Mus musculus: one gene and its partner. The protein of the gene in region 2 purifies or fractionates together with the protein of the main gene of each other region. This does not show direct contact. Links are inferred from orthologs where the notes say so. Each region holds a gene or a part of one and is shown on either strand. Other genes may lie near its edges. The genes, in order: Iqgap1 and S100b.

Evidence for each region.
Region 1: the proteins of S100b (region 2) and Iqgap1 purify together in Homo sapiens (co-immunoprecipitation; 3 studies listed by BioGRID and IntAct, with this or other methods). This does not show direct contact. The link is inferred for Mus musculus from reciprocal best matches to the Homo sapiens genes S100B and IQGAP1.

Annotation. Positions count from the first base shown.
Region 1 is NC_000073.6:80,726,567-80,730,377, forward strand, and holds part of Iqgap1 (ras GTPase-activating-like protein IQGAP1), read right to left. Parts: coding exon 3,676-3,811; intron 3,588-3,675; coding exon 3,503-3,587; intron 3,126-3,502; exon of another isoform or gene 3,078-3,125; intron 2,516-3,077; coding exon 2,283-2,515; intron 1,520-2,282; coding exon 1,387-1,519; intron 276-1,386; coding exon 173-275; intron 1-172. UniProt on the Homo sapiens protein: Plays a crucial role in regulating the dynamics and assembly of the actin cytoskeleton.
Region 2 is NC_000076.6:76,252,274-76,256,756, reverse strand, and holds the start of S100b (protein S100-B), read right to left. Parts: upstream 2,922-4,483; 5' UTR 2,799-2,921; intron 1-2,798. UniProt on the Homo sapiens protein: Small zinc- and- and calcium-binding protein that is highly expressed in astrocytes and constitutes one of the most abundant soluble proteins in brain.

The DNA of each region.
Region 1 (3,811 bases), on a different chromosome or scaffold from region 2:
TTTGTCTTTGTCTTTGGAAATACCTTGTACTGGACTCAGCTCCTCCCAGATGGGGCCTATGCTGGTTTGTTTCCTACAATGTGTCTAGAATTTGCTACAGGGCAAAATCAGAGGTACAACGACAATAGTCCTTCTCTCAGCTTTTCAGTGGCTAGTTAGTTAAGATCGTTACCTATAAGGGACTCAATGGTGGGCACCTCCCCAAGGTCGTCCAGAAGTTCGTGGATGGGGTCGTTATGCTCTGGAGCAATGGCATCCTGATGGTCCAACAGGAGCTGTAACGAACCAGTGATTGGTCCCACTTTCACCCTCAACCCTCTGTCCCCACCAAAAGACACCAAACAACGAAACTGCCACATCCAGAGGACAAACAAGCTAACCTAGTAAACAGCGTGAGGCCCTGAGCAGCACACTGGGCTTCACAGAACCAACCGCTCGTGTTGTAAAACTCCTGGCCTGGTCAAAAAAGATCCAATGCTCCCATGTAAGAAAGCATGGGACGCAAACTAAAGTCATCACTGCACCCGGCAAGCACCAATCCAACGATACTGAATTGCTCAGCGATATACTGGGATTTTCTCAGTGTCCCAGGGACAAAGGTCGCTTTGGCTAGCTGTTTTGTTTTTTCCTAGTGCTGGGTTTTAAACTCTGCCAACATGCAGTATCTTCTTACTCAGAAAAAGCACCCAGAGCCACACTGCCATTATCTTCCTGCCACTCAACAAAGCCCCAGGCATGCTACGATCCCTGGTAATGTCTTCAGAGGGGACAGGACATGAAATGCCATCAAACATGTACATACATCATCATATATGTAATTCTTGATTTACATGTCCCCAAAGGGAGAAGGAAACTGTTTAAAAAGTCTATACAGAGAGCTTCCAAAAGAAAAATCCACAGGCAGAGAGGAAGAAGCTGGTGTTCTAGGTCATGTGAGAGGAGTAAGGCGAATGGCTGGTATAAGAGAGAGCATTTCACCAAGCCACTACGTCTGTGCTCACAATGCACTTTGGGAGTCCATTCCGAGGGATTGTGGATCAGGATACCTGTCACAGGGCTGGCAAACATCACTTCTCAGTGTCAGTGTGGATGATTCTGAGGCAGGAGGCTTAGGAGTAATTTGCAGAGCAGTAGATATTTTGAGTATGAAGCAGGGCTGGGGTGCAGCTCAGGGGCAGAGCACTTAGTGCACAGTAGGCCCCGGATTTGAGTTCTAGCACCACCAAAGAGCAGCAGAGCAAAGGAAGAGAAAAAGCCAAGGCGCTGTGGTGTCAGTTAAGATCACAGCAAGGCGAGATGCCTGGCCGTCCATCAGAGAGGAGGCAGGTGCCAGGGAGTCATTAAGGGCAGAGGGATGCAGCTAAGCAATTAAGGGGAAGCACTTACAGTGTGGGTGTTGATGATTTCGCCAATGGAGATGTAGATAACTGGCTTAGTGAGGGTGACTAGGTCAGAGTACTCATCCACGTTAAATTTATCCTGCAGCTCTGGGACGTCACAAGCCACTTGGAAAAACCGTCTGAAAGTAAACACCAGCAGGTGGCATTGGCAGGGCAGCTAAGGAAAGGGCACACAGACCCCTCCAGTGCTGTGTTCAGACAAACCAGCCACACGACAGTGGGAGTCTAGAAAAGTGGCCACGTGTTTGCTGTTCAATTCCTGCCCGGCAGCCTGGGGATGCTGAGACAGTTCTCTTGCCAGCTCTGCTTCCACCCACAACAAGCATTCAAGCACAACTTCAAATGGCCCTCACACACCTGTGCGCTTCACCTCTAAGGAACTGCTCCAGGCACTACATTCAAAAGTAAGTGTTAATTTCCAAATATCAAGAGCACTCTGCAGTTCTTGATTATAGTGAGCATGGGCTTAATGCACAGACACTCCTTTTATATCAAATACTACTATCTACTGCATATGAGAATCTTCCTGATGCACGCACCCATTTCTGGAGCCATTGAGCCTTACACACACACACACACACACACACACACACACACACACCACTCATACTCTCTCTCTCTCTCTCACACACACACACACACACACACACACACCACACTCATACTCTCTCTCTCTCTCTCTCTCTCTCTCTCACACACACACACACACACACCACACTCATACTCTCTCTCACACACACACACACACACACACACACACACATGCACACGCATACACACACTCACATCCTGCAACTCAGGACTTGGGGAAGTGAGGAGAAGGTTAACCACTCAGATGAAAACACACCTACAGACCTTTGAGTCGTCTACTCTGTCCCTTACCTGAATTTCTGGTAGGACTGCGAGAGATACTCATTAATGATGCTTAAGTGGGCATTATCGCCCAGAAACATCTTGTTGGACGCCGCGTGCTGGAGCATCTTGGCAATGGAGCCCAGGTTTCTGCGCTGGTCTGTGGTGAGCTGGCCCCCTGCTGACAGGTCAATGATGTCGAAGGCATCGGGAGCGACGATGGCTGGGTTCATGTATCGGTAGTAAAGCAGGTTACCGATAATCTGAAATAGAAGCACGGCATTAAAGAGCAGCCCACTGAGGAAACCACACCTGGCTTTGCTAGCAATGAAAATGAGAAGATATAATCCTGTGAGGAAGTAAACAAAGAGCATACAGCAACATGCACACATGCACACATATACCTCAAGACCTAAAATTCCAAATAAACTGGGGGATGTGTGAAGGGGGGAAGAGAACTGAAAACTAGCACCAGAGATGAAAAAAGGGACAGATTTAGAACATATAAATAGCACTGTAAGGTATGTGATCCAACGCTCCAGGACGCCTTCAGTTCATATGTTACGGCAGCAGCCCAGGCTGATGTCGACCACCTCTGTGGGGTTTGTAGGTGGGTTTTTTGGAAGCCATGTAGCACAGGGAAAGTAAGTCCTTAGATGAGCTACTGTCTGTTTAACCCCCACGGCCCACATGCCACAGACTGCAAAGGCCACGTTCATGCCTATGAAATGAGATTCACTCAGCACACATGTCTTCCACAGGGGAACGCAAGGACAATCATGGAATCTCCCCTAGAGTTCCAGAAAAAAAATAAAATGAATTCACCTGGACAGAAAGTCTAGAATCGAGGCCTCACTGTAGGAAAGCACAGAACTAGGAGAGAGAAGAGAGAAGCGTTCAGATTTAAAAGGTAAAAACACAAGTAGGAGGGAGTATAGCCAAGTAAGAAGAGTTAGCAGGGAATCCGCAGCAGAGCACTGCGCTCGCTGCTATTCACCTGGCCACCAGCAGAGGGAGCAATGCTCCAGAGAAAAGAGGGCTCAGGAAAACTTCCCACTACCTATACTTAGTGTACACAGTGCCTTTAAAGATGAAGATGAACAGAAACTATCTGCTTAGAAGGCACCGTCTTCTAGTTACAGCTGCTCGTGAGGCTCACAGTGGAGGACACTCAGGCACTTCCTGCTGGTCTGTGGTCACTGGGCATCTGACAGCAGAGGGCAGGCACCCGGTAGCTCTCAGAGTCTTACCTTCAGCAGCTCGTCCTCACCAGCGTCAGGGAACTTCTCGTGCAGGGAATCCTTCAGGACTTTGGCAATGAAGCGCATCCCATAACTGTGGGATGGACAAAATGGAGTGAGGTCAGGCCACAGAGTATGCCACCAGCCAGGCTTTATTTGGAGTCACAACTGATGGCACTCACGGGATTTTGTCCACAGAGCTGACGATGGCTGAGAGGAACTTGTCTGTCACGGCCCTCATGTTCCTGATGGAGTTGTCTAACCTCGTCTTCACTTCTTCATGAGACAAGGCTTGTTCAGGAGTCACATCATAGGGCA
Region 2 (4,483 bases):
TTAGGGAATGACTCCGGGTCTTCCTGGTGGCTATTCCCAATCCCAGAGGTCTCCAGGATATACCATCAGCTGATGGATTTAAGAAAGACACTAAGATGACTAGTAACAAGTAAATATCTACCTGTACACACGCACACACACACACACACACATCACTATCAGTGAACCATTTTTAAAATGCAGTAACAGCTTCCTCATACAGCAATAATATCAGGGGTTAGGAGGAAAAATGCAGGTACTTCCAAAAGATTCTGAGGAACAAGATTAAGAATGTTCTGGCTAGTTTTATATCAGCTTGGCACAAGCTAAAGCCCTTTCTCAGAGACAGGAACCTCAATTAAGAAAAACGCCCTCATAAGATCCAGCTATAGAGCATTTTCTTCAGTAGTGATCGATGAGGGAGGGCTGAGCCCATTGTGGGTGGTGCCATCCCTGGGCTGGTGGTCCTGGGTTCTATAAGAAAGCAGGCTGAGCAAGCCAGTAAGCAGCATCCCTCCATGGCCTCTGCATCACCAGCTCCTGCCCTCGGGATCCTGCCCTGCTTGAGTTCCTGTCCTGAATCCCTATGATGATGATCTGTGATGTGGACGCCAAAGCTGAATGGCCCTTCCTCCCCAACTTGCTTTTTGGTTATGGTGTTCATCTTAGTAATAAAAACCCTAACAAAGAGCTTATTTTCATTTGAATTAATATATTAGTTTAAGATGTATAAATAAAATATGAGTGAGGTTTTTTTGGGGGGGGATGGGGGACAAACCAAAAATATATATATAAAAAATAAAGACTGTAAAATTCCTGTACCAAGTTTTTGAAAACTACCAGTGAAGTGACCTTGCAGAAACACGTACTCCAAGGTCATATGGTTCTCCTGGCATCCTGACAGGGCGACGGAGGCCCAGCCCTGAGTTCTGTGCTTGCTTCATTGGCCTGGCCTCAGAGTACAGCAGCTTCTTTGTGAACAGGCATGCATGCCTGAGAGAAGCAAACAGCCTTTGCAGTGGGCACCTGATGCCACAGCCACAGCCCGGGGATTCAGGGAGGGCCGCTCGATTATCTGAGGAACTTCATTAACATTAAGCCATTAAGGGTGGCTCTGGGATCATTTTAGAAACCAGCCTCTTAGGCAGAGACATTTGGCAGCTCCTAGCCTCGAGTTCTGATCCTTAAACCAGAACCTGCACTGTCATAATTAAACAAAGGTTCAAAAGTCATTTCCATGTTGAACATGTTACATTTTAGAATACAACTTTCGTAGCTTTTTACATTTTTATTAAGGATCTCCCAAAAGAAACGAAGGTTTTCGCCCTGTATTGGCTCTCTGGTTCTTTGGTTTGTTCATGTTTTCCAAAGACACCTGAAGTACCTCATATAAGAAGAACAACCCAGATAGACAAAATGTAACATTCTCTCTTAGTCTCTTAACTTGAGTTTTTAGTTACTGTTGGTCTTTTAGCTAAAAGAAAATCCTATGTGTCTGGGTGTTTTGCCTACAGGTATGTCTCTGTAGCGTGCATGCCTGGTGCCCGCAGAGGCCAGAAGAAGGTGTTAGATCACTGGGAACTGGAATTACAGTCAGTAATTCCATGTGGATGCTGGACTGAACCATCTCAACAGCCCCGGTTACTGTTTTTGTTTGTCTTTTTTTTTTATGAAAGAAAATATGTTTAGTCCCATGGGGAGGGGAGGGAGGAGAGGGGAGGGAAGGACAGGCACAGAATTATCTGCCCTTTTTCCTTTTTAGATTGAGATGGGGGTCTCACTGTCCCCAGATTCTCTTCTAAATAATGATCTCCTTGTCTCTACTCTCCCAAGGGTTGGCTCATACCCAGCACAGTTATTGATTTAAAAAAAAAGTCTTCAGAGATTCTGTGTCATACTGATACTGCTCAAAGTCCTAACGGCTGGGGGAGGGAGAGCTAAATGATCTTTTTGTGGATAAGGACTAAGACTTAAAAGTAAATGGTGAAACACCATATCCCATAGGCAAAAAATAAATAAATAAATAAAAATTTATTTTTTCATGACTATATTAAAAATTCAAAAATCTCCCTATTCTTTCAACTAAGGAAGCATTGGTTTGTTGTCTGCCTTCTAAGACAAACGGATGAGTCTTTATAAAGAAACACAGGGCTGGAGCTTCTTGGGATGGCACTGCCTGTAAGGTGAGGGGTCCCCACAGAGACCACCCTTCCCCAGGAGGGATGACAGGAAAGTCAGGAGCCACCCCCAAACCTTCATCTCTCTGTCCCAATTCATAATGATTTGAAAAGTTTCAACTGCTTTGGATTTTTCTTTTTTGAGCAGTGTCTGGAGATGTAGCTCTTGGCGTTTCGAATAGGAAAACTGGAAAAGCTCACAGGGGTGCTCCAGGGACCCCGGGAAAAGTTGCCATGAAGAAAGGGGAGCTGCGGTTGGAGATTTGGGGTAACCCTATTCCAGGAAAGGAAATCCTTCCCTTAGGACTCAGAGAAGACGCACTGTGCGCCATCTCCAAAAACATCGGCAGTCATTCTGAAGTTCTAACTATGGCCTAAGGTTTCCCTGGTTTAATGAAAACAAAACCAAAGACAATCCCCCCGCTGTAACACAGACACTGCATAGTCAGTGTCAGCCGCAGTCACAAGGAAACAGTAAAGGCAGCCTAATCAGCAGCTCTGAAATGCCACCAAATGTCCCCAAAGGTCTCTTAAAAAAAAAAATTCTTAAAGCTCAGTTCCCATTCTATCCCTGTCACCCCTCACCCTCCGAGGAAAGAAAAAAGCAGGTTTTCTCTTGGGTCCTGTCAGTGGCTTTCTCACCTCCTGGTCACCTTTGCTGCTGGAGTCCTCTCTGGCTTCAGTGTCCGAGTAACAGGAGTGTAGACAGAACAGCTTCTTATTCTTCCTGCAGAGAGAACTGGGTGTGGGCTTGGCGCAGTCCACTGCAGGCTGAGGCTGCCAATGGGGGCCAAGGATAGGGAGGAGTTAGACACCCAGGCCTGCATACAGGGCCCCATTGAGTGGTACCCTGGGGATCCACTGGGCAGCCACAACTGGACTTGATCTAGAAAGAATACGGGTCTGTTGGGTAGGAAGTGTAGAGTCAGCTTCTCTGCACCTTTTAAATGTATTACATGAACATTGGCCCAGTTCCAAAGGCAAGGCTGGGGTTGGGAAGAGGAGAGAGACAACGTGGGTGAATTGATTTAAACAGCAAATCTGCAGCCAAGAACTGGAAACTTCTCATGCTGAGTGCTGGAGACTGTGTGGCCCTGACTGGCTTCTAAGGAGGCCTCTTGAACATCTTGCTTGTCTGCCAGCTTCCTGGTCCCCTCCTGCAGGTATGCCATGCTGGGGCTGGTGATGCTGGGTAGTGGTTACCCCCAGACTCCTCTTTGAGCCCAGTATTCTCAGGGACCAGCATGCAGTAAGTTAGTTACATACTTAGTACTTGTTGCACCTAGGGAAAGACCTGCCAGCTCTTGTCTTGGGGCTCTCTCTCCCTACCCTGGTCAAAGGTTATGAGTTGTCTGAGCCAGAAATGCCTGTCCTGTGCTGTGCTCTTTTTGCATAGGGAAGAAATGTTGCACCTCTTGTCAAGGCACAAAATGACCCCAGAAAGCAGTCTGTTCCTAACTGCCTATCTTCAGCAGCACTACACCTGAGCTTCAAATGGCATCAATTGTGCGCTCTTGCCCAGAAATGAGCAGTTGAGCTGGAGAGATGGCTCAGAGGTTAAGAGCATTGGCTGCTTTTCCAGAGGTCCTGAGTTCAATTCCCAGCAACCACATGGTGGCTCACAATCATCTATAATGAGGTCTGGTGCCCCCTTCTAGTGTAGAGGTGTACATGCAAGCAGAACACTGTATACATAATATCTTTTTAAAAATAAAAATAAAAAAAAGAAATCAGAAGTGAGCAGTCCTTTTGAATAATCACACAGAAGCAATGGCCCAAGCTGACCAAGCAAGAGAGGATAGCTTAGTCACACTTCCCTTTGCCCCTCGTGTTCCAAGTGTCTGTGGGAAGAGCTACATGACAAAAGACACCCAAATATCACAGAGACCAAGGGGTTGACTAGACATGTTAGGGCTCCAGTAAAGCTTCTCCACCTTGAGGAAAGGGGGCAGTGTCTCTTAGCTTTGGGGCAGAGGTATAAACTCCTACTCTGGTTCCTCCCTATTACAGGGGGCAACTCACCATTTATCTACATGAGATCAAAGCCACTGGTTCACAAAGATTAGGTCCCCTACTCTTCTTAGTCCCCAGTAGACAATAAAAGGGAGACTCAGGGAGACCATGATAATCATGACTGGGAAGGTTCCCTCACTTTGTGAGGTTGCTCAGGGTACTGGATGATCAAGGCATCTCTAACCCCTCTCTGGCCATTTTTCAGTCAGTTACACTGACTTTAAGGAGAGATCTTCAAACCCCTGTGTGTGTGTGTCTGTGTGTGTGTTGATCATCAAATCCCAGACAAGCCCCTGCAAATGGTACAGGAGTCT